7 linked regions of the Canis lupus familiaris genome follow. The main gene of each other region encodes a partner of the protein of the gene in region 5 in a complex. Links are inferred from orthologs where the notes say so. Each region holds a gene or a part of one and is shown on either strand. Other genes may lie near its edges. The genes, in order: SIRT2, RANGAP1, XPO1, XPO5, RAN, IPO13 and NUP50.

Region 1 (3,585 bases), on a different chromosome or scaffold from region 5:
TGGAGACTTGCTGGGAGAAGCTGAAGTTGAAGTGCTGGGGTTGGGGGCCCCTGACCCTGCCTGGGCGTCTATGTGGGCATGCTCCTTCCGGACAAGGTCCTCCAGTTCTTTCTGCAGGGGGCAAAGTTCATAGAAGTTAGAGGTCACTGTGCATCATGGGATCACAGGACCTGTGGGGCAGGGGTTTGGGGACAGGCTCCGGGTGGGCCGGGGTAGACTCCTTACCTTCCATCCGAGGAGGTCGGCAAGGGCCAGGCAGCCCTGGTCACAGTCACCCAGCCAGGCCACGTCCCTGTGGGTGGGAGAGTCAGAGCTCTCAGCTTGTCCCAGGCCCCTGCCCACTTTTCCCAGTCCGCGTGCCTTCATGCCCTCCCTCCCACCTCGGCTGTGACCCTCGCAGGCCCAGGACTCACCTGTAGGCCTTCTTGGAGTCGAAGTCCATGCCTCCTCCAAGGCCCATCATCATCCCCAGGAAAGGGTCAGTCTGTGGGGGAGAGGGGAGCTCAGAGCACAGAGCCTGGAGCCAGGTGGCCTGGGGCTGTTCCCTGCTCTGTGACTTCACTCAGTGACCTGGCCTCTCCAAACCTCAGTTTCCTTATCTGTAGAGTGGGGGCCATTACCAGCCACTCCTGGCATTGTCGTGTCAGCGGGTTAATACTTAGAAAGCGCTTACGGGGCGCCTGGCAGGCTCAGTCAGCAGAGCATGTGACTCTTCATCTCAGGGTCGTGAGTTTGAGCCCCATAGTAGGCATAGGGCCTACTTAAAATTAAAAAATACAAAATAAAATAAAACAAATTAAACCAGACAATGCTTAGAACAGTGTCTGGCACATGGAGTGTTTGGCTGTTCGAGGAACCACCCCTCCCCAGGGATGAGGGATGAGGGAGGGAGGCCACCTCAGGAAAAGAGCCGAAAGCGGGAGTGGGCGTCTCCTCACGCTGTGCTGTGGGCCCTGGGGCCTGCTCACCCTGACTCCTCACTTACCCAAAGCCCAGCAGTCCTGTTCTGGCTTAAGCTGCTTTGAGTTACTTCACTTGCTCAGAAGGGGCCGGAGGGACCCCGGGGCCTGTAGAATCAGAGTCTAGGTGGCCTGGAATCTGACCCCTCCGGGTTCTAGAGCACCTAGTTCTGAGCTGAGGGGTCTCAGTTTCTGAGGAAGCCAGTGAAAGGGAATGTGGGACCCCCGAGAGGAGGAGGAGGAGGAAGAGGAAGAGAAGACAGAGGGGGGCTCACATAAAAGCCAACTCACCTGCCCAGTCTTCTCCTTGTTGATGAGCAGGCGCGGGGTAGAGAGGGGCGCCCTGGGGGATGGGGAGCTCAGTGGTAAGGGTCTGTCCTGGCCACCCCCACCCCCGGTCCCAGCAGCACCCCCCAATCCCAACCCCAACCTACTTGCTGATGAGGGAAGCAAAGGGCTGCACTTGCAGGGAGGTACCCATGATGATGAGGAGGTCCACCTTCAGGAAGTCCTGGGGAGGGGGGGGTGGTCAGTGAGGGTCCCAGAGGCTCAGCAGGGGCCAGGCTGCCTCCCCCCACACCCCTGCCCTGCAGCTTGCTACCCCTCCCCTACCTGGGGAGGCACTTACTGACTGCATGCAGGAGAAGAACCTTGCTGGGAGGTTCTCGCCGAAGAACACGATGTCTGAAGCAGACAGATGGACAGACACAGAGACAGAAAGAGAAGGTGAATCGGGAGGCAGAGACAGGGTCAGAGAGAGAGAGAGAGAATGAGAGAGAGAACAGGCGGCAGCAGAAGGCTGACCCGAGGGGCTGAGGTGGGAGCTACAGAGTAGCGGGCGCAGGTGAGGGGCTACAGGACCCATTCTCCCGGGGAAAGATTCGGGGCACCGGTCAGGGGCTCGTGGAGGGCCGGGGGTCCCAGCCCAAGTCCATCCAGGCTGCTCCCTGGCCCCGAGGCTCACCAGGCTTCACCACGCTGTGACATTTCTCACACTTGGGAGTCACCTCGGAGAAGATCTTCTCTGGGCGTGGGGAAGAGGAAGGGAGAGGAGGTAAGCGACTCTGGGCTAGGGTCTGGGGCTGCAGCCAGCCCTCACGGTCCACGCACACACCTCGGTCGCTGGGGGGCCTCCTGGGGGTGTGCCCTGCTCACGAAGGCCCTCCCTCCTTAGAGAGCTGCCCCTTACCTCCCCCCACCCATCGCCCAGGGTTCCGGGGTGGAGGGCATGGGGGGCTCCGAGCACCAGGTCACGTCTATTGAGTTAATGAATAAACACAAGGACAGATGAATGAGCAGATGCTTGCCCTTTACAGGGGTAACTGGATCCCACCCCCCACCCCCCAACGTGGGCAATAAAGCTCCCCCAGGGGTCTTTGGGGGCAGTTCTATTTTATCCTGGGTGAGAGGCCTGGTGAGCCCCAGGCCTGGTGACAGAGAGGGAAGAAATTGCAGACGATCCTGGGATGGGGACACATCCTAGGGCCCAGCTGCCCACCATCCTTGGGTTCTGGGACAGACACCCCCCCCCCCACACCACCATCCTTATGACAATCATGCTCCTGATTGCTTATTAAGGAAGGAAGCTTGAAACATGCTCACTTGCACCCCACAGAATCCTAGCTCATTTGTTCAACTGTTCATTCATTCATTCATTCATTCATTCATTCCTTCAACAGGTATTTAAAGAGCCCCGTTTTAATGTCTGCAATTCACTTTAGACTATTTCAGCATGGACAGCATGATATTTTGTGGGGGATGCGCACACTCTTGCTGTAAGTGACACACAATGGGGTCGTGTTCCTCGTCCATTACCCCCAGCTGCGCGCACTTGAGCTATTCTGGAAGCCTCACCCCAGCGGCGGTCAGCTGGCGTTTTGGCAGAAAGGCCCCGCTCCAGAGGCCCCACCACAAATGCTGCAGCTGTCTCTGTCTCACATGAACACCAGAGGCTTTGTGAAACCAGCATAAAGAATGTCAGAAATGGCTTTCCATGGGTGAAATGTGTGGCTTCTCGGCAGCACAATGGATGTCAGACAAAGGCTCTCAATGGCATTCGAGAAATGTGGGCCGGAGGAATAGTTCCCCCCTTTTCTGGACACTCTGCCCTTCCATGGACGGGGACGCTGACTTTGACAAGCCCTGTTGTCTGGACCCCTCGGGACAGTCCCCCCCCCCCGCCCCCCGCCTTTGTCCCTAACCAGGCCTGCGTCCAGCTCCACGCTCCACGGAACATGCTTGCCTGCATCTGACTAACGGGCCATCGGATCCGGGGCCTCCAGCCCCGTCCTGTCCAGTATGGTGCACGTAGCTACATGTGGCTTTTAACTTTTTAATTAATAAAAATGACGGAAAATGAAACATTCAGTCCACTGGTCACGGTAGTGACATCTGTGAGCGCTCCAGAGCCACATGTGGCAGCGGCTGCCATACTGAGCAGGTACGGATTAGAGTGCAGTTGTGTCTCCCTCCGTGGGCCCCTCTTGTAAGGTAAGATCAGAGCCCCTCAAAGGACAAAGGGCCGGGGCCTCAGACCCCACAGAACAGACTGCATGGCGGTCCGGCGACCTCTCTGCCAACACACATCTCTGTGTACGGCTGAATTGGGTCTGGACCTTGCTCCCCT
Region 2 (3,585 bases), on a different chromosome or scaffold from region 5:
ATCCCTGGCTATTGGCACAGATCACAAAGCAGAACTTTGGGTATGGCTGTATCTGATCATCTCCACAACCTCATGAGGGACACCTACCTGGGATGGGGAACCCCACCAGACAGAGAAGACTAGGGATCAGAAAGGCTAAGTAACTTATGAAGGCTCACACAGCTCAGAACACAGGTTCCTGCGTCTGGTGTCCACACTGCAAGGACCCTGGGTGCTGGCCTGGTCTGCCACAGTCCTTCCTCGCATACTGCAGCTCCACTGCACTGGTCTTTCTCCGGGCTCTCCTGCTCTATTTACATAGTATGACCAGTGCTCCACATTTCCTCCTTTTCCGGGGGGTGGGATCTTCTCCAACCACCTAGCCCTTTTTCATCCCAACCTTCTGACACCTCTTTTTTTCTGGTTAAAACACTCAGGGTCTTTATTTGTTGGTATTTCCTTGATAGATCGACTCCTATGTAGTCTTCCTATATACCTCTCATTTTGGACACCTCCCCAGGAAGGCTTCCAGGATCCCCACCCCCCTGCCCATGTACAGTCCAGCACTCTTCCTCTGTGCTCCCAGAGCATGTCCTTCCTCTCTCATGGTATTTGTTCATCATCCTGGACTACCAACATCGCCCTCCTGTCTACACTCCACCAGCCTCTGAGCTCTCAAGAAGAGACTCATGTCCCAGTCTCTGCTGCTACCAAGGACCGAGGTCAGGCCTGTGAGGACTCTCCACCTAGTAGTGGAGTTCTGTAGTTCCAAAGTGCCCAGAACAGCACAGGGGGTTCACAGGTAAATATAGGCAGACCAAGTGAGGAACATTACCAATCAGGGCTTCTCAATATCTTCTGTGCCATAGACCCTCTGGGTAGTCGGGTACAGCCCCTGGCTCCCTCCTTAGCATATTTTAAAATTTTAAGATAAACCATATGGACCTATTATGAAGGCGATCAATTCAATTGAAAGAGAATCCTCAAAATATTTGGAAAAGACCCCAAATGTGTGCTGCAGTAATAAATGCACTCCTTATTATAAAGGCACTGAGCAGGGACGCCTGAGTGGCTCAGAGGTTGAGCTTCTGCCTTCGGCTCAGGACATGATCCCGGGGTCCTAAGATCGAGTCCTGCGTCAGGCTCCCTGCAGGGAGCCTGCTTCTCCCTCTGCCTGTGTCTCTGCCTCTCTCTGTGTGCCCCTCATGAATGAATGAATAAAATCTTAAAAAAAAAAAAAAAAAGGCACCGAATAACAAGTCCTCCTGGAGGCAAGTCCACTGATGCATGAGGAACAAAGGACAGAAAGCTGAAGGAGAGTGTAACCTTCAGAGAAGGCATAACGTAACGTCACGACGTTTACAAGGATGGCAGCTAGGCTCCTGTAACTCTGGAGGCACCTCTCCCTTGCTGTGTTCACTCTCTGCCTGAGGGAGACGAGCTCCAGCAGCTAGATGGCGGGGCATGCTTCTCTGGCCTCAGTGTGGTTAATGCTGCTAGAATACGGTTTGCCAAAGAAAACAAATTGAGAGAAAAAAAAGACTCCAAAGTTCCCAGCCCTGTGGGACAGGTGTGGGCCTCTCATGGAGCTCGCAGTCAGGGTCTCAGCAGGGTCCCAGAGGGCAGGGCACCTGGGCCACAGCTCCCCTACCTCCCCGTCTCAAAGGTAAGTCTGATGACTCCATCTCTGTGCCCCGCCCACTAGAGGCCAGAGATACGCACCCTCTGTGAGCCCAGGCACTGTGCCAGCCTGTCATCCCACTCACTGCCCTGGCTCCCCCGTCCCCGTTTCCGAGTCTGGCAGTCCTCAATCACTGACCAGAGCAACCTCAAAATCTTCTCAAACAGTATTCCAGGGAGCTGCCATCAGTTCACTTGCAGCAGTGGATCACGCAACTTTTCAGACACATGACAGGAATCCTGCCCCACTGCAGAACGAGCCACAGGTGCAGAGAGGGGATGTAACTCGCCCTAGGTCTCGCAGCTCCACTCCAGAGCTGCAGGCACACCAGGCTGTCAACCTGCGAAAGCTTAGCCCGCCTCAGGGCACGGCGGGGCAGGGCGTGCAGAAACCACTCACCCCGAAAGCTTCTGCCAAAGCGGTGGCTCCGTCGTTCTCCAGACGGTTTCTGCCGGCCACGAAGACCTTCAGGCCCAGTGGCTTGCCTTGGGCACTGGATTTCCGGTGACACTCAGTCAGAGCCGCTGCCAAGATCTGTGGGGGAAGAGGGAAGAGGCCCAGCCTCTCGGACATCCTATGCCACCTACTGGTGGTGGACGTGGGGACAGAGAACTGCTCACAAGCAACATGCTCACACTGCACATGTGCCCAGCACCTTGCAGCTTACTAGGGGCTTTCACGTACACCACTAGCGTGAGGGGGTGTGTGTCCCACTACCCTGTGGGGTTTAGCCTCATGTTAGCGATGGGGAGAGACACCTGGAGGGAGGGGAGACACCGAATGGGAGGTCCATGGAAGGGCAGGTACTAGGGAAGGGGCTTCACAGTCGGCTCACTGCACTGCCAGAAGCCGTCTGTCAGGTGGGGACCATTGTGATTCCTCCTCTCCAGCTGAAGAACCTCAGGCTCAGAGAGGAACAAGGACATTCCTACAGCTGCTAAACATATGGAAAAATCTAGACCAGAACCCAGATCTTCTGGCATTTCTTCCACGTTGCCCAATGCCTGAGGGGGAGCTGACCAAGACCATGGTCACACTCCTTTGACACACACCATATTGTTGGTGTGGTGCAAGGACAGAAGCGAGGACGCAGCTTCTGCCTGGGTGATGATATCGACACAGCAAGAGTTAAAAAATGCTGGCTGGTTGCCGGGAATCAGAGAGACCATGGCTGCAACTGGCAGCCAGTCAGCCTGACTACACAGCTCTTTGTCCCTGGGGGCTAGAAGGGCCACCACAGCCTGACTCCCAGTGGGTGGTTTGCATGCTCAGTGCACAGATCATGGACGTCCGCCATAAACCAGCCTCCTAAAAAACCAGCACATTCCATTCTCCTCAGGTGCCTCTGGGCCCACCACAGTGAGCCAGCCTGGGGACTCAGGGCCTGGAGAGCTCCAAGCACAGGGCTACATCACACTTCCAGCGAATCCTTTGGGCCCCTCCAATTCCCTTGCGTGTGGCACATGGGCCACACTGAATGCACTCTGGCCGGAGGAACAGATTCTGAAGGAACTGGAGCCTATGGCACTTGCAGCTCCCAGGAGGTGCAGGTCAGCAAGGCCGGCACCCACAAGATGCAACAAAACTGAATCAGAGGTGAGGGAGGTAAAAACGAGCACACGTGACATTCCAGAGTGGAGCTGGGCTGCCGGGGGGACCCCCTGGCTGCAGGGTCCACAGCCTTTGTGCCTGAGCTATGGCCCACGCCAGAGTAAAGGCGAGGCCTGCTGCCCAGCCACTGGCAGCTCTAGGAGCCTCAGTAGCCCAGGCCTGCTGCGCAGCAGGGGGGAGCCGATGGAAAGCCGGGGTCTTTCAAAGGCGCATCTCCAACTCCCTCAGCTCTAGGTTGGGCTGGACCCATTTTCTGTGCAGATGCCAACATTTTAACGTCTTCACACACGCACGGCTTACTGCTCAACGAGACT
Region 3 (3,585 bases), on a different chromosome or scaffold from region 5:
TTGGCGCCTGCCTTTGGCCCAGGGCGCGATCCTGGAGACCCGGGATCGAGTCCCACATCGGGCTCCTGGTGCATGGAGCCTGCTTCTCCCTCTGCCTGTGTCTCTGCCTCTCTTTCTCTCTGTGTGACTATCATAAATAAATAAAAATTTAAAAAAAAAATAAATAAAAAACTTGGGTAAAGTTTTTTTTTTTTTTTAACAGGTAGCTGAAAATTTTGTTCCTCCTTTATTGGATGCAGTTCTCATTGATTATCAGAGAAATGTACCAGCTGCTAGAGAACCAGAAGTGCTTAGTACTATGGCTATTATTGTCAACAAGTTAGGAGGACATATAACAGCTGAAATACCTCAAATATTTGATGCTGTTTTTGAATGCACATTGAATATGATAAATAAGGTATGTGGTTTACATTTCAGTATGGGAAATTCTGCATTATGTATCCTTGTAAGACTTGAAAGCATAAATGATAGCTATGGGATTAACTAGTTTAAATATTTGAACATTTAGACCAGAGAAGTACTTTTAAAAATATTAACTATTGGGCAGCCCTGGAGGCCCAGTGGTTTAGCGCCACCTTCGGCCTGGGGTATGATCTGGAGACCCAGGATCGAGTCCCACGTCAGGCTCCCTGTGTGGAGACTGCTTCTCCCTCTGCCCCCCTTTCTCTCTCTTTTTCTCTCTCTGTCATGAATAAATAAATACAATCTTTAAAAAAATGTATTTACTATTAAAAAGATCTTTGGCCATTTGGATGGCTCAGTTGATTGAGCTTCTGCTCTTGGTCTCCGCTTGATCTTGATCTTGAATTCAGAATGGTGAGGTAACACACCAAGTCTAGTCTCCACACTCAGCAAGGAGTCTGTTGAAGATTCTCTCCCTTTGGTCCTCCCCCCAATTCACATGTACTCCCTCAAATCTTAAAACAATCTTAACTGCAAAATAGTAAATTTACATAAAAACTATATTCAGTAATGTATATGTGTATATATATACACACACACAAGAAATGGGGAAATGTATTAAGTAAGATAGGAAAATGTAGATCTAAGTCCACAAATTTACACAGTAGCTAAAAATTCTCGGATCTATATTTGTGATCTTGAAGTCAGAATCATAACATGGTAGTAATTTTCTTAAGAGTAACTTGAAAATATGTTCTTTATGGGTTTTGACTCCTTATAATGGGACCTTGTAGTCCTTATTTTTAGTAATTCATTTGTGTAATCAGTGGTAATTACATCTTCCATGAGAGGCAAATTGTGTTGATTTCAGGTTTGCTGATCAGGAAACCAATATCTTACATACACTGGATGGGGCCCATTAACAATTCCAAAGCTTTATACTAAATTAGGATTTACTTTTTCTTTTTTATTAAACATAATTAAGGCATTGAAACTTTATTTTGTTCTCATCTTTTGTTTATAGGACTTTGAAGAATATCCTGAACACAGAACAAACTTTTTCTTACTACTTCAGGCTGTCAATTCTCATTGTTTCCCAGCATTCCTGGCAATACCACCTGCACAATTTAAACTTGTTTTGGATTCCATTATTTGGGCTTTCAAACATACTATGAGGAATGTTGCAGATACAGGTAAATACACGTCCTTTTATTTAAATACCCTTTTTATTCATTCATCTTACAATCCACAGGCTCTTAAACTTAGATCTGAAGGAATTAGGTAGCACTGTTATGTGGGTTTTGTGTGAGTACATCTGTGGCATATGTAGGTCTAAGTAAATACTAAAAGCAGTTGAATCCTCTCTTCTATGGTTGAGTCCACAGGTGTAGGGTTGATTTACAGGGAGATGGGTGAAAATTCAAAGTAGAGCGACATTACTTTTCCGCATCCATACCAATGTTTCCTTTTCCCCATATGCTTTTCCTCTGTCCCGCTAAGGGTCAAAATAAGGAGAAAACCACATTTTCGAGAGAAATTTTTATTTTTTAATAGAAACTGGTTTATGTAATATACTTGTATTTTCGTAATGCTGTTTTTAGAGTTGATTTGGAGAGAATCTAAACTTTCAGATATAGTGGAAAGTTGGTAATGGTTATTACTGTAATCTATAAGCAGACATTGATGCTAGATGAACTCCCATTATTCAAGGTAATTTAGGCAAATAATTGTTAGTCACTAGTGGAAAGAGGGTTAAGAATGGCTTTTGAATCAGAAGAGTTGAATAGTGGAAATTCTGTGTGAATGTTAACCGGCTGTAATAACTTCATTAGTGTTTTTGTACATTTTAGGCTTACAGATACTTTTTACACTCTTACAAAATGTTGCACAAGAAGAAGCTGCAGCTCAGAGTTTCTATCAAACTTATTTTTGTGATATTCTTCAGCATATCTTTTCTGTTGTGACAGACACCTCACATACTGCTGGTAAGAATTTATAGCCATGAAAATCTTAAGTGTTCAAGTTGTTATTAACTGTGGAGTTAATGATGTTCTTCTTATCAACAGGTTTGACAATGCATGCGTCAATACTGGCATATATGTTTAATTTGGTTGAAGAAGGAAAAATAAGTACACCATTAAATCCTGGAAATCCAGTTAACAACCAAATGTTCATTCAGGAATATGTGGCAAATCTCCTTAAATCTGCATTCCCTCATCTACAAGAGTAAATACACTTTTTAATACACCTATATTTTTCAGTTAAAAAACAGTGATATTTAATCGTTGTGTTTTGTTTTGCAGTGCTCAAGTAAAGCTCTTTGTGACAGGGCTTTTCAGCTTAAATCAGGATATTCCTGCTTTCAAGGAACATCTTAGGGATTTCCTAGTACAAATAAAGGTACGTGCTTTGTACTTGGTATGTTTTAGTTGTTGGATTGTACAATGTACCGCTTTTTGTTAAAGCAAAATGAATGGGATTTTTGAGTGGTATTTAAGCTTACTAGTCCTAGACTGATACACAGTGAAAAACTAAGTCATCGCTGAGAACATGATGCGTTACAAATGTTTTTGGAAACTTGTTATTAATAGAATTCATTTTGGATGATCAAAATGTCTTGGAATAATGGTCATGTCATCCTATAGATGATTTTTAAATTGTGCATTATGGGGAAAGAAACACTGATTGCCCCTTTGGGGATTTCATACCCATTTTGTTAGTAATCCATTTTAGGGAATTAAGACAAATTAGCAGATAATCCACTTCTTTCTACTGCTGTTACACAATGCTTCATTTAAATTTATGGGAAGAAAAAAAAATAAATTTATGGGAAGAAGAAATTGTCTTGTATTACTTTCTTTTAAACAAATTTAAAAGTAATGTAACATCTGTAAGTTGATGGATTATCTTACTGGTGAAGGTTAAATAAGGATTGGTCGTACATGATAATGTTACTCAGATTTTTTTTCCCTCTAAGATAAATAGGTTTTTTAAAAATTGTAAATATATTAGCTATGTCATAAGTAGAGAATGCCAAAGAGAGCGAAAATTACTTGAAATTCCTATATAGGTCAGCTTGGGGTGGCTCAGCGGTGTAGCGCCGCCTTCGGCCCAGGGCCTGATCCTGGAGACCCGGGATCAAGTCCTACGTCCGGCTCCCTAAAGGGAGCCTGCTTCTCCCTC
Region 4 (3,585 bases), on a different chromosome or scaffold from region 5:
ATTGTATGACCATCTCCTGCCTTTACTAACCCCTTCTCCTTATAAAAAAAACAATAATCTAGACTTAGGTGTTCAGCATTCATACTTTCGCTTTCCAGAAGTTAGGAATTGTTGGTTGAATTAAATGGTCTTACCTTACTTTCTTCAACAGTTTCAAAAGTGACAGATGAAAATAGCTAAAGGTAAGAAAGAAAAGGTTACTCATCAGTATCAAATGCATAAAGTATTTTTGAATAGTAGCATAAAGTTTCCAACAAAATCTCAAAAGTATAAACAATATACTAACAAAACGGTTTTCAACTGGTGTTACAAAGTTTCAGATGCTCATTTTCTCAGATAACTCTGCAAGAGGCTTGAATTCACAACTTTACCATCAAACATTTTATAAAGATGGAGATTAGAGAATCCCCAAACAATCCAAGCTATCAGCCAAACACTCAAGCTATAGTGATACTCTCTCTGATTCTACTGTGTAACTTCTCATCGACTCTTTAACCTAATACAGCGTTGACTACTGCCCTAAATCACCAGGAAGGAGTTATACTTTAACAAAGGTCTAATCAAGAAACCCAACGAAGTGGTGTCTGGGTGGCTCAGTCGGTTAAGTGTCTGCCTTCGGCTCAGGTCATGATCTCATGGTCCTGGGATTGAGCTCTGTGTGGGGCTCCCTGCTCATCAGGGAGTCTGCTTCTCCTCTCTCTGCCCCTCCCCTCTGCTTTCTCTCTCTCTTGCTCTCGTGAATAAAATCTTAAAAAAAAAGAAAAAGAAAAAGAAACCCAATAGATATTGCCTTGTTCTTAAAGAATTTCTGTTGTAATAAATAAGCCTATCTTTATGAAGTTCTGCTGATGTTTGTAACATGACATTTTGTCATTTATCTGCCCTTACCTTTTTTTTTTTTTTTTTTTTAAGATTTATTCATGAGAAACACAGAGAGAGAGACAGAAGCAGAAACAGGCTCCATGCAGGGAGCCCGATGTGGGACTTGACCCCAAGACTCCAGGATCACACCCTGAGCCAAAGGCAGATGCTCAACCGCTGAGCTACCCAGGCGTCCCTATCTGCCTTTACCGTTATTCTTCTTTGGAGAATTCTCATTCTTCACCCTCCTCCCCCAGTGATGGTAACTCACAAAGTTTCCCTGCTTGAGCCACATGTCCAACTCTACATTCATATCACCCTCCTTCCTAGGGTTTCACCTCTGCTCTAAGCCCCTCTACAATAATGCCACCTTAATACTGTATTTTTGAGACTCTAGACCTTTAACTTCAAATAGCCAATTTACTATAGTGTCTTCTCCTGGATGTTGTACATATACTTCAAATGTAGTATTCCCAGACTGAACTCATCCCTCCTCCTCATTCTATGGATTCCATTATTCTTACTCAGGTACTGTTCTACTACTCACATAAACTGGAAACCCACAAACCATCCACACCAACCATCCCTCTCACAAATCCCTTTCTAATAAACTGACAGCATACTGAGACCCTTTCTTTAGGTATTCTCCTCCACTTCTCAGTACACTTGTCTATTAATTATAATGCCACATGGGTACAACAACTGTTTATGTGATTTTATTTCCAAAGAGAGTGCCTGAGGGGAAGTGAGGCTTTTCTACCAGCATGGTGCCTGATTTGCAGTAAGTATTGAATACCTGATGAATGACTAAATGACGGTTTTATTGGCTTGTCTCAAAGACTCTCGAAAACAGTCTCAAAAAATTAGTTCAAAAATATCCAACCAAAGTTTAAAAAGGAGATGGAATTTACCTTAGAGAAGACCTGGGGCAGGAACTCTGGTCTGTAGGTGACAAATGGAAAGAGTGCTGAGACATTAGTGAGGACACAGGACAGGATGAGAGGATCCTTGGTGTCAAAGTTCAGGACCATTTGCAACAGCTCTATTCCATCATTAACAGGAACAGCCTGCATTACAGACAATGAAAAGGATGTTGACATGGCTGATAAGCACTTCTGGTAAAATTTCCTTTAGGCTTTGGTTTTATATACTGCTTTTCAACCTGGAAATTCCAAGCATTACCCCATGTTATTAAAACTTTTCCTAAATGACGCGACCACATGCCATCTTAAGAATGTGGCTTTTCGGGAACCCTGGGTGGCGCAGCGGTTTAGCGCCTGCCTTTGGCCCAGAGCGCGATCCTGGAGACCCGGGATCGAATCCCACGTCGGGCTCCCGGTGCATGGAACCTGCTTCTCCCTCTGCCTGTGTCTCTGCCTCTCTCTCTCTCTGTGTGACTATCATAAATAAATAAAAATTAAAAAAGAAAAAAAAAAGATTAAGAATATTAAAAAAAAAAAAGAATGTGGCTTTTCCTAATACTAGAAAGTGAGAACATTGCTGTTCATTAGTGCTAATACATCTTTGTGGGAAAAATTTTTGGCTACATTTTCGATTATTTCATTTGGGGGACAGACTTTTGGGGATGGCTATAATTACTGAATCAAGAGGTATGAAAATTTCTAAGTCAAATTGTTTTTCTTCTTTACAGGTTTTATCAGTTGATTCTCTGTTCACCAATATGCCCTTCTTACCATGTTCTCAGCAGCAGTTTGAGTTTATTCTCTAAAGCTTTTGCAGTAAATAAAAAGAGTTTATTTAAAATTTGCATTTTGGGATGCCTGGGTGGCTCAGTGGTTGAGCATCTGCCTTCAGCTCAGGTCATGATCCCAGGGTCCTGGATCAAGTCTCGCACTGGGCTCCCTACAGGAAGCCTGCTTCTCCTTCTGCCTGTGTCTTTGCCTCTCATGAATAAATAAATAGTTTTTAAAAAATTTGTATTTCTTCAGTTGCTAATGAGGACTGAATTTTTTCATATTTATTAATGACTTTAGTTTCCCCTCTCTATATAAATCTGATATCTTTTAACTCTTTCTTCATTAGGTTCTTGTGCTTTTATTAATTTGTGTATAAAGAACAAAATCTTATTGTGAAATATTCCAGACCTTTAGAAAAGTATAAGCAATACTTTAATAACTCTCCATGTGACGACCTGGAGATGTACAATGTTACTCATAGAGTGGCTGCTCTGTGTACATATCTTCCTCTTCAGCCCTAGAGGTGGCCACTATCCTGAATTTGGTGTTCACAATGTCAAGGATTCCATCCTTTCTGTGTACTTCTGTCACAAATGTATATATTCATAATTACACAGAAAATTGTATGTTTTGGGGTCAACATAGTGTTTGTGAGAATCATCCTTGGGACAGCTGAGTGGCTTAGCGATTGGGCATCTGCCTTTGGTTCAGGGTGAGTTCCGGATTCCTGAGATCAAGTCCCACATCGGGATCCTTGCATGGAACCTGCTTCTCTCTCTGCCTCTCTTTCTGAGTCTCTCATGAATAAGTAAATAAATAAAAATCTTAAAAAAAAAAAAAGAATCATCCTTATCCATAGCATATCCGAGTTCCTTTTCACTGCTATAATCTATTCTGTATAATCTATTGAGGGATATTAAGTTTTTTCCTTGGCTCAACACACAAGCATTCTATAGAACGTTGGTGCCTCAATGCAGATACAGAGTTTCTTCAGAACACTTAGGAATGAAGTTGCTGGGTTATAAGG
Region 5 (3,817 bases):
TGCTCACCCCTCTAACAATCTACCAAACGGAATACTGCGGATGTCTGCCCTGTCACCTGTGTGAGAGGATCCAAATGTACAAATAGACAAGAACTTAACCTGCAAAGATTCAAATTAAGGGAGAATAGCAAAGGCCAGTTCAACAGTAACGTGGCACAACTTTTCCTGTTAGTGGTTTTAAGATGCTTACCAAACAAGGGAGGAGTTCATTGGCTTAGATATTTGAAATACAACTTTATTCTGATTCTAAACGAAAAGGAATGGGAATGACAGTGACAAACGAGATTTCACCACTGGATATTGTGATGGGACTGTAGCAGTCTCATTATCTGAAACTCAGGAAGGAAACAACTGCGTTCCAAAACAGCTAAGTATGCAGGTCCAAAAAAATGAAGGTACTGTTTAAACTGCCACATTCACTCCGAAGCCCATTCATCTCCTTCAGCATCCCAAAGATTAAGCACATGTTCTGCTCAGCTATATAATAAAAGTGGCAAACACGCTGCACCACTGACATCACAGGACAGTTGCCTATAAAACTAGACTTCTGACGCTGGCCTCCAGCTGCACTTCTCACAGGTCATCATCCTCATCCGGGAGCGCGGTCGTCTGAGCAACCTGGACAGAGACACAACGTCAGGACACCATGGGTTAGAGCCGTCAGGACACGGGACACCCAAGAGATCCCACTGACGGACCCATCTGCCACCTACCTCTAGATCGTGCTCGTACTGTGCTGCCAGAGCTGGATCCATGACCACCTCTGGGGGGGCAAGAGCAGGCATGGCGACAAACTCCAGGTTAGGGTCTCCAATTAGTTTTCTAGCAAGCCACAGGAACGGCTTCTCAAAATTGTAGTTACTTTTGGCAGAAATGTCATAGTACTGTTCCATAAAATAAAATAAGTTTTTAAAAATCTACTTCTTGAGGATCATTGAAATGTTTAAAACTAAAAATAGTTTTTCCATCCATACCACAGACACAATTTCCTTTAGTGGATCTATTACCGTAGTTTCATCTTAGAGAAAAACAATTAAGTTTTAAAAAACATACCTGAAGGTTCTTCTTTCGGTGGAAGACGATAGATTTTGCCTTAACTTTTCTGTCCTTAATATCCACTTTATTGCCACAGAGCACAATGGGGATGTTCTCACACACTCGTACCAGATCTCTATGCCAGTTAGGCACATTCTTGTAAGTAACCCTTGACGTTACGTCAAACATTATAATGGCACACTGGGCTGAAACAGATGTAGGAAAACTGTTACACATGTATGACTTCTTGCACAAATGAGGAATGCTAAGGAGCACGGGCTAGGGGACAGGCCCAATCTGGCTACCTCTGCTTCTGCACTCACTACACCCCAATGTCTCTCTCTTCCAAGTTTAAGGATCTCCAACCACTGTAATACGTAACAAGATTTAAAGTTTCATTTTCTGTGTGAGTGTGAACTACCAGCCTAGCTTATCAAATCTCTCCCGTAATACTTCATTAATTCCGTCCCATCCCAGAATCTCAAGTAGACTACCGATAGAGCAGCACCCTAAGACAACTGGTCTCCTCTATTCTGAGGATCTCAGAACCTGCTCTTTAAATGATCCTAAACTACACAAAAGAGTATGTTATTCTGCCTTAAAACACGCAGGCCTACATACTGACCTATGAGGAACACAATTCTAATATAATTGAGACAACAAACCGAAGTATGTACAGTCTAGGAGTTTCCTAATTAAACACTTTTTAAGAAGAGAAAAAAAAAGCTGTGTATCTGTAACATAGCAAAGGATGCAAAATATGGAAGGACTCCCAATCATCTTTCATCACAAGAGATCCCAGATGACATTTTCTTCCTGTCTTTATCTGCCACTCTACAGTGCCCTTGAGGGAAAAAAACAAGCAAAAAAACCCCCAACCAGCCCCAACGACTCCGGCAGCCACAGCAGCACCTCGTGGGATGCTCATTGTCTTAGGTGAGGAGCCCGCTCCGGGTCCCGGCTCCAGGCTCCAGGCTCGGCGCTGCGCCCATCATGACACAGCACGCGGCAGCCGCCGGCCCGCCCTCACCCACCTTGGATGTAGTAGCCGTCCCGGAGCCCGCCGAACTTCTCCTGGCCGGCGGTGTCCCACACGTTGAACTTGATGGGGCCCCTGTTGGTGTGGAACACGAGGGGGTGGACCTCCACGCCCAGAGTGGCTGCAACACAAGCACGGCCGTCAGGTCCGCTCGCGCCCCGCTCCCGGGGGCCCCCGCGGCTCCCCCCACGTACCTACATACTTCTTCTCGAATTCACCCGTCAGGTGACGCTTCACGAACGTGGTCTTGCCGGTGCCGCCGTCGCCAACCAGCACCAGCTACGAGACAGGACGCGGTCGCGGGGGGCGGGGGGGGGGAGGGGAGGCCCCGGCGCCCCCCGGGCCGCGCCGCCCCGCTCCCCCCGGCCGCCCCCGCGCACCACCCACCTTGAACTGGACTTGGGGCTCTCCCTGGGCAGCCATAGCGCTGGTGCTGCGGGGAGACAGACGTGGGACGGCTGGCGGCGGGGCCCGGGCCCACATGGCCGGCCCGCCCCACGTGCCCGGGCCCACAAAGGGGCTCCGGCGGCCGGGCCCCACGCGCGCACGCCCGGGCCGGGGCGGGGGCCGCGGCGCGCTCCCGGCGGCGGGCGGGCGGGCGAGCGGCGCTGCTCCGGCGGCGGGTCTGGCGGCGCGCCCGTGGGGGAGGGAGGCCGGGAGGCCGGGGCGGAGGCCGGCGCGCGGGGCGGAGGCCGGGGCCGCCCGGGGCCCCGATCGCGCGCCCCCCGGCCCGCGCCGCCCCGGGGCCGCCGCCCGCCCGGGCCCACCGCGACTGGCGTCCCGGCCACGGTCTTCGGTCTCTACGGCAGGGGACGGCGAGAGCCCGCCGCCGCCGCCGCCGCCGCCCCGGCCCGCACGACTGCCGCCCGGCCCCGGCCCCGGCCCTCGCCCGGCCCTCGCCCGGCCCCCGCCCGGCCCCCGACCCCCCGGCCCCCCGGCCCCCCGGCCCCTGGCCCCCGCGGCCCCCGCGGCCCCCGGCCCGGCCCCGCTGCCTTACCTTCCAGAAGCGTCTCCGGCCCGTCTGACTGAGGGCTGGAAGATGGCGGAAGCGCAATTCAAATGCCCGGAGACGCAGCCGACGCCGGCGCGCGCCGGGGGGGGCGGGGCAACGGCGCCGCGTCGCTCCCACGTGGCCCGGCGTGCGCGCGCACGCACGCCGCGGGCTCGGCCGGCCACACCCGTCGGCCGGGCGCGGAGGGGAGAGTCGCGGCGGGGCGGCAGTCGCGCTCGGCGCGGGCGCGCGGACGCACGCCGGCTCGCGGGGCCACGTGCGCCGGCCCAAGGGCGGGTTCCAGCGCGCGCATGCGCCGACGCCGACGCGGCGCGCCCAGCTGCGGCCGCGCCACGACACTGGGAGGAGAGCGCAGGCCTCTTGGGCGGGAAAGTCGCGGGGAGCGGCCGACACAAAGCCCCGGGCCTCCGGGCGTGGGGCCTCGCCGTGGGCGCGCGGGACGGTGCGCCGCGGGGGAAGCGGGCGCGTGCGGAGGCCTTGGGCCCTGCCCCTGTGGCCCTGCCCCTGTGGGCTCTCGCGGCACCCCGGGCGCTCCGACCCGCACCCTCTCCCGGAGCCGCCCGTCCATCTGCCACCTGCCTCCCCCGGGCCTCCATCACCCTCTCGGCCGCTTCCTGCGCCCCCGGCCCGGCCCGGCCCCGGCCCTTCCTCCCAGACCCCGGTCCGCAGAGCCTGCCCTGGGCCCCCGCCGCACCCCCTCCTCTCACCTGGACCCCGCGGGCCCCTGCCTT
Region 6 (3,585 bases), on a different chromosome or scaffold from region 5:
TCCGTGGAATGAGGCCAATGAGCCCAGGCACCACATCAGAATAATTGACATCGATGGTCTCTGCGATGGATTGGAAGCCATAGAGCAGGGCCTCTGTGTGCTGAGGAAAGAGGGTGCCACTGGCTTGGCTGAGGAAGGGCATGACAGTTTGGGGGAGGGCTAAGGGAATCAGGCTTGGGAAATACCTGCCAGGAGTAGGGCTCCTCTGAGCTGGTGAGCAAACGGCCTAGCTTTTCATAGAGGTTGCTGAGCAGCTCGGCCCCCAGCATCTCATACACATACATGAGCGTATCTGAGATGTCCACCCTAAGAAGTAGATGAAGACCTTATATAATGCCCGGATCCTGCCCCCAAGCCCAGGAGCCCACCCAGTTCCCTCACAACCCTGTAAAAGTGCCTAGAGAGTAGGGAAAGGAGCCCCAGGATTCAGGAAGCCTGGCCTTGGGCTCCTCCTCTTATTGACTTCATTATTTCAGGATTCTATTTAGAGGTAGGGCTGGCCTGCTACCATCACCTGTAAATTCGGAACTGCTCCTTCTCGTCTGAGGACCAGAATCCGTATTCCTCATCAGAAGGGAACTGAGCCTTGTGCAGAAGTACATCCACCAGCTGGAAGTAGACTGGCCGGTACACCTGCTGGTACACAGCCTGCTTCTCTGCCTCGAAAGACAGAATGTCATCCTGAGAGAGCCAGGGAAGGAAGTTAGCCACCGAGGCACTAGGCCCAGAAGCCTATGACCCACCTCCTATCATTACAGCTTAGTCCTACTAGAGCTCACACAGACACACCTGCAGCGTGTACCAGAAGGTGAGGGTCAGGGAACTGGTGGTCTCGTTGACAGGATAGTGGCCAGGGATGCCAGTACAGAACATAATCATGTTGACAAGGGCTAGGAAGCTCTGCCAGTGCTCCACTTGGTCCAGCAAGGCCCTTGGAAGGAGGAGGTATAGTAAGGTCATTCCACCTCCCCCAGTAGGACTCCATAACTCTACCTCTTAGAGGGCACTATCCCACCCTCAGCTGCCCCACTCCTTACCGGGAGTGGTTCTCGCCCAGGGCCACAGCAATGCGACAGATGCCATGGGAGGTCTCCATGTCCCCATTCTGCACTGCCTGTCGCAGTTGATCTTGCAGTCCCAGCACCAGCGGGATGAGTTTCAGGAGTGTATTCACATACCTGGAGGCATGAGGTAAGGACTCATCAGAGCCCTCTGCCTATCCCCCACCAGCTTTGAGAGAGAGGCACGTTCTCTGTCTGCCAGCAAAGCACTCACCCCACATTAAACCCAAAGCAAAAAAGAGGTCAGGGCCTATAGGGCAGCTTTGATGCTGCCCATATCAGGAAAACCCTTAAGTCAGGGACCTCCAGGAGAACTCCAGGAAGGAAGTATGAGAAGGTGAGTGTTGAATGGGTTGAATTATGTCCTCTAATTAGACTTATAGTTGATGTTAGCATGGCTTAAGATTTCTGGGGAAGTTGGAATGAGATATACATATCTTACATGTGGGAGGAACATAAATTTGGCGGTGGGGGGGGCAGAGGGCAGACGGTTATGGGCTGAACTGTATCCCCCAAAAAGATATGTTGAAGTCCTAACCTCCAATACCTCAGAATGCAATCTTATTTGGAAACAGGGTCATTGCAGATGAGGTCATGGTGGGGTGCGGGGCGGGGGGGGGGGACTCTAATACAATATAACAGGTATTCTTTTTATCTTTTTTAAAGATTTTATTTATTTATTCATGAGAGACAGAGAGAGAGAGAGGCAGAGACACAGGCAGAGGGAGAAGCAGGCTCCATGCAGGGAGCCTGATGTGGGACTCGATCCTGGGACTCCAGGATCAGGATCATGCTTTGGGCTGAAGGCGGCGCTAAACCACTCAGCCACCCAGGGATCCCCCTATAACAGGTATTCTTGTATGAAAACAACCATGAACACAGACTCTTACAGGGAGAATGACACGTGATCACAAAGGCAAAGATTGGAGTCATACAACTGCAAGCCAAGGAACAAGACTGCCAGCAAACAGCAGAAGTTAGAAGGGAATGAGGAAGGTTTGGTTCTCCTACAGGTTTTTAGAGGAAGCCAACACCTTGACTTTGGACTTCTAGCCTTTGCAACCGTGAGACAATAAATTTCTGTTGTTTAAAGCTACCCAGTGTGCAGTACTTTATTATAGCTCCTCTAGGAGACTAACATAGATGCTGTTAAGGGAGATTGCACAAGGATGGGAGACAGAGAAGTTAATACAGACTTAGGAGCCCTAATAAAGACATCAGGAGGCACTGACAGCAATCCCCACAGTCCACTCCATTCCCTACCACCAAATCCTAATTCCTATATACTCTGGTGGCAGTACGAAGGGAGAGCAATAGATGATGAACCTGGAGACAGCTAAGGGGCAAAATGGACAGGACTTGCTGACTAACTGGATATAACAATGGGAAAGAATTAAGGACACCTCTCAGGTTACTGGCTGAACAACTAAGTAGATGATGGAGCTATTTACTGAGGTCAAGAGGAATGGGTGGAAGGTGAGAGTAATAAATGTAATGGGAGCCCAGAAGGTGCTAAGTTCAGTGTCAGGCATGTTGAATCAGAGGTACCTGGTGAGATCTGCAAATAGAAGTGTCCAGAGAGTTGGATATGAAAACCTGAAGCCCAAGGGAGAAGTCAGAGCAAGAGACACAGTCATGGGCAAACAGCTGGTAATTGAAGCTATGGGAGTAGATGAGCATTGCCCAGGAAGCAAGCACTGAATGAGAAAAAAAGAGGGTCCAAGTCAGAGTCCTGAAGCATAATGATCTTAAAGGGGGAGCAGGGGAAGTGCAGTATACAAAGGAGACGGAGAGAATACTACCTCCATCTCTCTGTACCCCTCCCCAGCGGCCAGCTCTGTGGAGATCAGACTAGTCAGAGGAAGTGATGCCCTTAGAGGGTGGCGGAATCAGATGCTTGAGACCCCTCCGCTACCAATCACAATGTCACCAGAGCAATCTATGGAGAGGCAGGGGGACTGATGGGCCAGAGGAGTTCTATCTGCATTTGCCCTAAGCAGAGTGCTAGGCAGATAGCCTCATAACCTCAAGGGTAGGATGAAAACAAGAGGCAACCAGCCAGGGATAATGGCTTTCTTCAAATCTCTATTCTGGTGGGACAAGGTGTCCACACCAGGATACCCTCAACCCAGAGACAGCCCTAGAGGGTGCTGCCTGGAGACAGCTGGGATAGCTTCAGTCTCATGACCCTGACACAGGCCGCACCACCAGACAATGGGCACCTTCAGGCCAGACTCCAGCACAAAGAGCAGGGGCAGGGCCAAAGCCATGGCCTGCGAGCTCCCCAGCAGCTGAGATGGGGGCAGGAAGTAGTGCTCTATCCCCAACGCATCCCTACCATGGCTCCTTCACACCTCCCAAAGTTGATGTACACAGCAGGTACCCAATCTTCACTGGGTTCTTGATTTGTCATGTTTGAGTTGCATAATAGGCTAAATTACAGACAATATGGTCCAGAAGGGCTCAGAGTATTACTCAAGGTGATATAGCAACTTAGAGACAAATTCCAGGCTGAGGTAGCTGC
Region 7 (4,177 bases), on a different chromosome or scaffold from region 5:
ACAAACATCTAATACAGTTCCCCGGCTGGGTATTTCTTTTTCCTTTCTAGCCTCAGGAAGAGAAAAAAAAACCAAACAAACGAAAAAAATCCAAACATCTGGCCACATCTACCTTCTGGATTCTTGTCTTGGTGTGAAGTCACCATCACAGCAGGCAATAAATCTGGCTTTATTTTTAAACGTCCAGCGCGAGCGCCACCTGCTTTTAACCCTTAATGTGTGCAATCCAGCAGGATAGGGGTCGTGGACACACCGATCCAAGGGTGGGCGTTTCCGGGCAGGGCTCCTGAACACAGGAGATGGTTGTGGGCAAGCTGGTTTTCCACCTGCAAGGATGCACAGACCTTGAGAAGTTCCGACCCTAAATATCCGCCCCCGCACCCCCTCCGAGGCAGGCGTCCTAACTAGCTCGCGATGGCCCGGGCAGGTGCACGCCCCGCGTCACCCCGCGTGCCCCGCACGTGCGGGGATGCGCCCCAGTGTTCCCGCGAGAGCACGAGGCCCAGGGCGTTAGTTCCGCGGGGGCGGCGCGCGGGCGGACCTGCGGGTGGGTGCTGCCCTGGGGCGCGACCCCCGCCCACGGGGCGCCCACGGCGGCCGCAAGCGCACGCGGGCGGGCCGGGGGTCCGTGTCTCCCGCTCCGCGGCCGGGGCCGGTCCTCCGGCGTCGGCGGGCAGGCGAGCCGCGGGGAAACACGGTGGCGGCGCCGAGCGCCCCGAGGTCACTCACGTTTCCCGGCCGCCGCCTGTCTCTCTGCTCAGCGCCGCGCCGCGAACGCCCCGAGCCCCGGCCGCGCTCCCGTGCCGCCCCGAGCGCGTCGCACACCCGCCGGGCCCGGCCGTAGCGAGACGCGGCGCGCCGCCGACACGTGACCACCGCGCGTAGCCTCCCGCCGCGGGCGCCGGCTCCCCCGGCGGGGGCGGGGCGGGGGAATGCACGCATGCGCGCGCATGCGCGAGACGGGCGCGCTCCTCCCGGCGACGGTTTTTTTCCAGGCCGCAGAGCGCCTGCGCCGCGTGTCGCTCCACGGCCGGCGGAGGGAGGTCCCGCGGGCCGCGGCCGGCGCGCCTGCGCAGTGGCTGGACGCGGGCGTTTCTTTCCTCCCTTTTTATAGCGTCGGGTCGGGCGGGGTAGAGCGGACTTGTAAGATGGCGGCCCGGAGCCCGCCGGCCGCGGCTCCTCCGGCGGCCTCTGGCTGAGCGGACTGCCCTCCCCCCGCCGCCGGGCACAGAGAGGCGCGGCCCCTGGAGGACATGGTGCTTGCGGCCCGGGGCTTGCTGACCACCAAGCTCTCGGAGAACCCCGGCGCGGCCAGGCGCGCTCACCCCGGCCGGCGGCCGCCTCATCCCCGAGGCCCGCGCCGGCGCCCGCACCTGCTCGTGTCCCGCAGCGGCGCCCGCACCTGCTCGTCGTCCCGCAGCCGGCTTGCACCGCGCCCGCACCCGGAGAGGGCCCCCGGCGGGCGCCCGGCAGGTGAGAGGCGGCGGCGGCGTGAGCGGGGGGCGGGGGGCGGGGGCGGCGAGCCCGCGGAGGAGGCCGGGTTCCGGCTCGGGATGGGGCCTGGGGAGGAGGGACCTGGGGAGGCCGGGGGTACCTGGGGGGAGGGACCTGGGGTGGGGGGACTTGGGGAGGAGGGACCCGGGGAGGAGGGACCTGGGGGGGGACCTAGGGAGGAGGGACCCGGGGAGGAGGGACCTAGAGTGGGGGGGAGGGGGGACCTAGGGAGGAGGGACCCGGGGAGGAGGGACTTAGGGTCGGGCGGAGGGGGGACTTGGGGAGGAGGGACCTGGGGTGGGGTGGGGGACCTGGGGGGGAGGGACCTGGGGTCGGGGGGAGGGGGGACTTGGGGAGGAGGGACCTGGGGTGGGGTGGGGGACCTGGGGGGGAGGGACCTGGGGTCGGGGGGAGGGGGGACTTGGGGAGGAGGGACCCGGGGAGGAGGGACCTAGGGTGGGGGGGGGGACCTAGGGAGGAGGGACCTGGGGAGGAGGGACCTAGGGTGGGGGGGTGGGGGGAGATGGGACCCGGGGAGGAGGGACCTGGGGTCGGGGCGGGGGGGGGGGGGGTACCTGGGGAGGAGGGACCTGGGGTGGGGGGGAGGGACCCGGGATGGGGCCTGGGGAAGGAGGGATCTGGGACGGGGAGCTGGGGTCTGGGTGGGGGGAGTGAGACCTGGGGAGGAGGGACCCGGGGTCGGGGCCGGGGCCGGGGCCGGGTTGGGGTCGGCCCGGTGCGGTGACCGTGCGGTGACCGTGGTGCGGAGCTGGCCTGGGCCCCGGCCGCCGGGTCGGGTCCCCCCTGGGGCTTCCCCTCGGCGGTCTCCGGGCAGGGACCCGCTGCCTACGCCGGGGCCTTGCTTCCCTCCGCAGTCCCGGGCTGCCGGTCACCCCTGTCCTCTGCCCCGTTAAGCAGTTTTGAGACTTCGCCTTCCGCAGCCTTCCAGTCTCCGGGCTCCGCGCCTCCCCCCCCCCCCCCCCCCCACCTTTTCTCTTTTTCTCTCTCCGTCAAGTATGGTCATACCTGTTCTCGTCTCAGGGTAAACTGATGTCTGAAGTTCAACCCCGAGGTGGAGGCAGCACCTGGTGGCAGAGACCACGGAACACTATCAGGCACAAATAATAGTTTTCTCCAATTACGAGTACTCTCAATTTCTTATCAGTACTTCATACCTAGGAATCATTTTAAAATTTGGTGCCTCTTTAACCACAAGCCCTAATTTTTTTTTCAAATCCTTTTTTTTTTTTTTTTTTTTTTTTTTTACAATTTTGTTTTTAAGTAATCTGGACACCCACGGCGGAGCTGGACCTCACAACCTCGAGGTGGAGAGCTGCATGCTCCACCAGTCAGCTAGCCAGGCACCCCTAAATGCTTAACTGTAGCCAAAACTGAAGACTCTTTGGTGCTGGGCTTTGTTCTGAGTACTTCCCAGAGATTTTTTTCTCCTCCTCTTTTTTCATAAAAAATATTATCTGGAGCATCCTACTTTGAAATAGAATACAGATTTGCTAAAATATATTTTATTTTATTTTATTTTTTTTAAGGTTTATTTATTTATTCATTCAGAGAGAGCAAAGAGAGAGGCAGAGACACAGAGGGAGAAGCAGGCTCCCCGCAGGAAGCCTGCTGTGGGACTTGATCCCTGGTCTCCAGGATCACACCCTGGGCTGCAGGCAGCGCTAAACTGCTGAGCCACCGGGGCTGCCCACTAAAATATATTTTAAAGCCTGGCTCATAATTCTCTTTTTCTACCCTGTGCTTCATACATTATTGGGGAAAAGTAGTATTTTGTAGCCTTTGCTTCTAACAAAACTTGTGTCTGTAATAATGTTTATTAAGCCCTTCCTCTGTTCCAGGCAGTGTTCTGAACTAAGTTTTCAATTTATCTTCCTTAATTTTCCCAACGCCTTCGTCTTCTACAGATGAAGAAAGTGAGTCATAGCAGTTTTAAATGACTTGCCAGAGGTTTAGCAAGAAAATGGCAAAACCGAGATGCCAGCATCTTGTAGTATTCTCTAAAATAAGTAGGGCCCCAGATCAACCAGCCACTTGCTGGAGCACCTGCTGTGAGCTGAGCCGCAGATTTGGGGCAATGGGAGTAGACCCGGAAGCAAAAGGGAGATCCCTGCCCTGCGGTTAGGTGGCCAGTAGTCTGGGGGAGCAGCTGTTTGGTTTTGGTGGTTGTACTCCCCTGGTTATCTTTCATTTGTGGGCCTGACTAGATGTGACAGTTTCATTACAGTTTGCACTTTCAGCTCCACCCCCTTTTTGCCTTAACTCTTAGCAAAAAGGACTCCTTCAACTTCTCGTCTCTTCTGCCCCCTGGTGGAGGTGTTAGTTACTGACTAGGGAAAGAGTCCGCGCAGAGACCAGGCCTCTCAACAGTGGAAGTTCAGTAAGGAAATGGGTCTGAAAGGGTTTTGCTTGCTTGTATCTGAATGACCAAGATTAATGGCAAAATCTGACCAGGTATTTGAGGGGGAGACCTTAAAAAGAGGGATTTGCAGATAATGGCTGAGTATCCTTCCTACTTTGTGTTAGCATCGTGGACTTGAAAGCCATTTATTTTATAATCAGGGAAAAAACCATGTACATCCTTGAATAGAAAAGTTCAGACATTATTAGGATATTATTAAAAGCTGAAATGCCCAATGTAGTTACGCTTACAGGAGGTCAGATA

Evidence for each region.
Region 1: the proteins of RAN (region 5) and SIRT2 are in contact, whole or in part, in a crystal structure (PDB 5FYQ), measured with the Homo sapiens proteins. The link is inferred for Canis lupus familiaris from reciprocal best matches to the Homo sapiens genes RAN and SIRT2. Residues at the interface, in NP_006316.1 of Homo sapiens: Phe35, Glu36, Lys37, Lys38, Tyr39, Val40; in NP_036369.2 of Homo sapiens: Phe96, Arg97, Glu116, Phe119, Gln167, Ile169, His187, Ile232, Val233, Phe234, Phe235, Gly236, Glu237, Ser238, Leu239, Phe244, Gln265, Val266, Gln267, Pro268.
Region 2: the proteins of RAN (region 5) and RANGAP1 are in contact, whole or in part, in a cryo-EM structure (PDB 9B62), measured with the Homo sapiens proteins. The link is inferred for Canis lupus familiaris from reciprocal best matches to the Homo sapiens genes RAN and RANGAP1. Residues at the interface, in NP_006316.1 of Homo sapiens: Asp18, Gly20, Tyr39, Val40, Ala41, Thr42, Leu43, Gly44, Val45, Glu46, Glu70, Lys71, Leu75, Arg76, Tyr79, Asp91, Thr93, Ser94, Arg95, Val96, Thr97, Asn100, Lys123, Asp128, Arg129, Lys130, Lys132, Lys134; in NP_001265580.1 of Homo sapiens: Ser29, Gly58, Asn59, Thr60, Asp86, Thr89, Gly90, Arg91, Leu92, Arg93, Ile96, Asp121, Ala123, Phe124, Gly125, Asp127, Asn151, Cys152, Gly153, Met154, Gly155, Arg189, Asn190, Arg191, Gln217, Asn244, Asp245, Asn246, Thr247, Asp273.
Region 3: the proteins of RAN (region 5) and XPO1 are in contact, whole or in part, in a crystal structure (PDB 7B51), measured with the Homo sapiens proteins. The link is inferred for Canis lupus familiaris from reciprocal best matches to the Homo sapiens genes RAN and XPO1. Residues at the interface, in NP_006316.1 of Homo sapiens: Lys12, Lys37, Lys38, Tyr39, Val40, Ala41, Leu43, Gly44, Val45, Val47, Trp64, Glu70, Lys71, Gly74, Leu75, Arg76, Asp77, Gly78, Tyr79, Ile81, Gln82, Val96, Pro102, Asn103, Arg106, Arg110, Val111, Glu113, Val124, Asp125; in NP_003391.1 of Homo sapiens: Leu35, Tyr36, His37, Gln43, Arg44, Gln47, Leu50, Thr51, Lys54, Glu55, Asn74, Tyr77, Tyr78, Gln81, Lys124, Val125, Lys129, Met132, Leu173, Glu176, Glu177, Phe181, Gln185, Lys266, Thr269, Glu270, Asp313, Gln316, Asn317, Gln320.
Region 4: RAN (region 5) and XPO5 share a complex: the UniProt entries of both Homo sapiens proteins name them as parts of the nuclear export receptor complex. The link is inferred for Canis lupus familiaris from reciprocal best matches to the Homo sapiens genes RAN and XPO5.
Region 6: the proteins of RAN (region 5) and IPO13 are in contact, whole or in part, in a crystal structure (PDB 3ZJY), measured with the Homo sapiens proteins. The link is inferred for Canis lupus familiaris from reciprocal best matches to the Homo sapiens genes RAN and IPO13. Residues at the interface, in NP_006316.1 of Homo sapiens: Lys37, Lys38, Tyr39, Leu43, Gly44, Val45, Val47, Pro49, Trp64, Gly74, Leu75, Arg76, Asp77, Gly78, Tyr79, Ile81, Gln82, Asn103, Arg106, Asp107, Arg110, Val111, Tyr147, Trp163, Arg166; in NP_055467.3 of Homo sapiens: Leu33, Tyr34, Tyr35, Ile39, Lys42, Gln46, Leu49, Met50, Gln53, Glu73, Tyr76, Phe77, Ser80, His83, Ile84, Ile118, Thr121, Arg122, Val125, Val172, Glu175, Glu176, Thr179, Ser414, Asp415, Arg784, Asp785, Pro787, Asp788, Pro829.
Region 7: the proteins of RAN (region 5) and NUP50 are in contact, whole or in part, in a crystal structure (PDB 7MO0), measured with the Homo sapiens proteins. The link is inferred for Canis lupus familiaris from reciprocal best matches to the Homo sapiens genes RAN and NUP50. Residues at the interface, in NP_006316.1 of Homo sapiens: Arg29, His30, Thr32, Gly33, Glu34, Phe35, Glu36, Phe52, Val124, Asp125, Ile126, Lys127, Ser153, Asn154, Tyr155, Phe157, Glu158, Phe176, Ala178, Pro180, Ala181, Leu182, Ala183, Pro184, Glu186, Val187, Asp190, Pro191, Ala194, Tyr197; in NP_009103.2 of Homo sapiens: Pro344, Pro345, Lys346, Val347, Val352, Lys362, Cys363, Lys364, Phe366, Tyr367, Lys368, Asn371, Glu372, Phe373, Lys374, Glu375, Lys376, Gly377, Ile378, Lys384, Lys390, Gln392, Leu394, Arg396, Thr399, Asn400, Leu401, Asn403, Ile404, Leu405.

The regions. Positions count from the first base shown.
Region 1 is NC_049222.1:115,017,254-115,020,838, reverse strand, and holds part of SIRT2 (NAD-dependent protein deacetylase sirtuin-2), read right to left. Parts: exon of another isoform or gene 2,639-3,585; intron 1,984-2,638; coding exon 1,924-1,983; intron 1,644-1,923; coding exon 1,588-1,643; intron 1,471-1,587; coding exon 1,394-1,470; intron 1,303-1,393; coding exon 1,251-1,302; intron 485-1,250; coding exon 414-484; intron 293-413; coding exon 226-292; intron 112-225; coding exon 1-111. UniProt on the Homo sapiens protein: NAD-dependent protein deacetylase, which deacetylates internal lysines on histone and alpha-tubulin as well as many other proteins such as key transcription factors.
Region 2 is NC_049231.1:24,926,399-24,929,983, reverse strand, and holds part of RANGAP1 (ran GTPase-activating protein 1), read right to left. Parts: intron 2,195-3,585; coding exon 2,060-2,194; intron 1-2,059. UniProt on the Homo sapiens protein: GTPase activator for RAN. Converts cytoplasmic GTP-bound RAN to GDP-bound RAN, which is essential for RAN-mediated nuclear import and export. Mediates dissociation of cargo from nuclear export complexes containing XPO1, RAN and RANBP2 after nuclear export.
Region 3 is NC_049231.1:62,835,420-62,839,004, reverse strand, and holds part of XPO1 (exportin-1), read left to right. Parts: intron 1-202; coding exon 203-397; intron 398-1,426; coding exon 1,427-1,595; intron 1,596-2,252; coding exon 2,253-2,387; intron 2,388-2,468; coding exon 2,469-2,628; intron 2,629-2,705; coding exon 2,706-2,802; intron 2,803-3,585. UniProt on the Homo sapiens protein: Mediates the nuclear export of cellular proteins (cargos) bearing a leucine-rich nuclear export signal (NES) and of RNAs.
Region 4 is NC_049233.1:12,196,524-12,200,108, forward strand, and holds part of XPO5 (exportin-5), read right to left. Parts: intron 1,929-3,585; coding exon 1,773-1,928; intron 177-1,772; coding exon 135-176; intron 1-134. UniProt on the Homo sapiens protein: Mediates the nuclear export of proteins bearing a double-stranded RNA binding domain (dsRBD) and double-stranded RNAs (cargos). XPO5 in the nucleus binds cooperatively to the RNA and to the GTPase Ran in its active GTP-bound form.
Region 5 is NC_049247.1:1,620,923-1,624,739, forward strand, and holds RAN (GTP-binding nuclear protein Ran), read right to left. Parts: upstream 2,510-3,817; 5' UTR 2,498-2,509; coding exon 2,462-2,497; intron 2,354-2,461; coding exon 2,269-2,353; intron 2,196-2,268; coding exon 2,070-2,195; intron 1,242-2,069; coding exon 1,054-1,241; intron 885-1,053; coding exon 714-884; intron 619-713; coding exon 574-618; 3' UTR 560-573; downstream 1-559. UniProt on the Homo sapiens protein: GTPase involved in nucleocytoplasmic transport, participating both to the import and the export from the nucleus of proteins and RNAs. Switches between a cytoplasmic GDP- and a nuclear GTP-bound state by nucleotide exchange and GTP hydrolysis.
Region 6 is NC_049236.1:16,398,912-16,402,496, forward strand, and holds part of IPO13 (importin-13), read right to left. Parts: intron 1,179-3,585; coding exon 1,038-1,178; intron 932-1,037; coding exon 790-931; intron 682-789; coding exon 515-681; intron 307-514; coding exon 186-306; intron 101-185; coding exon 1-100. UniProt on the Homo sapiens protein: Functions in nuclear protein import as nuclear transport receptor. Serves as receptor for nuclear localization signals (NLS) in cargo substrates.
Region 7 is NC_049231.1:21,795,825-21,800,001, reverse strand, and holds the start of NUP50 (nuclear pore complex protein Nup50), read left to right. Parts: upstream 1-1,350; 5' UTR 1,351-1,473; intron 1,474-4,177. UniProt on the Homo sapiens protein: Component of the nuclear pore complex that has a direct role in nuclear protein import. Actively displaces NLSs from importin-alpha, and facilitates disassembly of the importin-alpha:beta-cargo complex and importin recycling.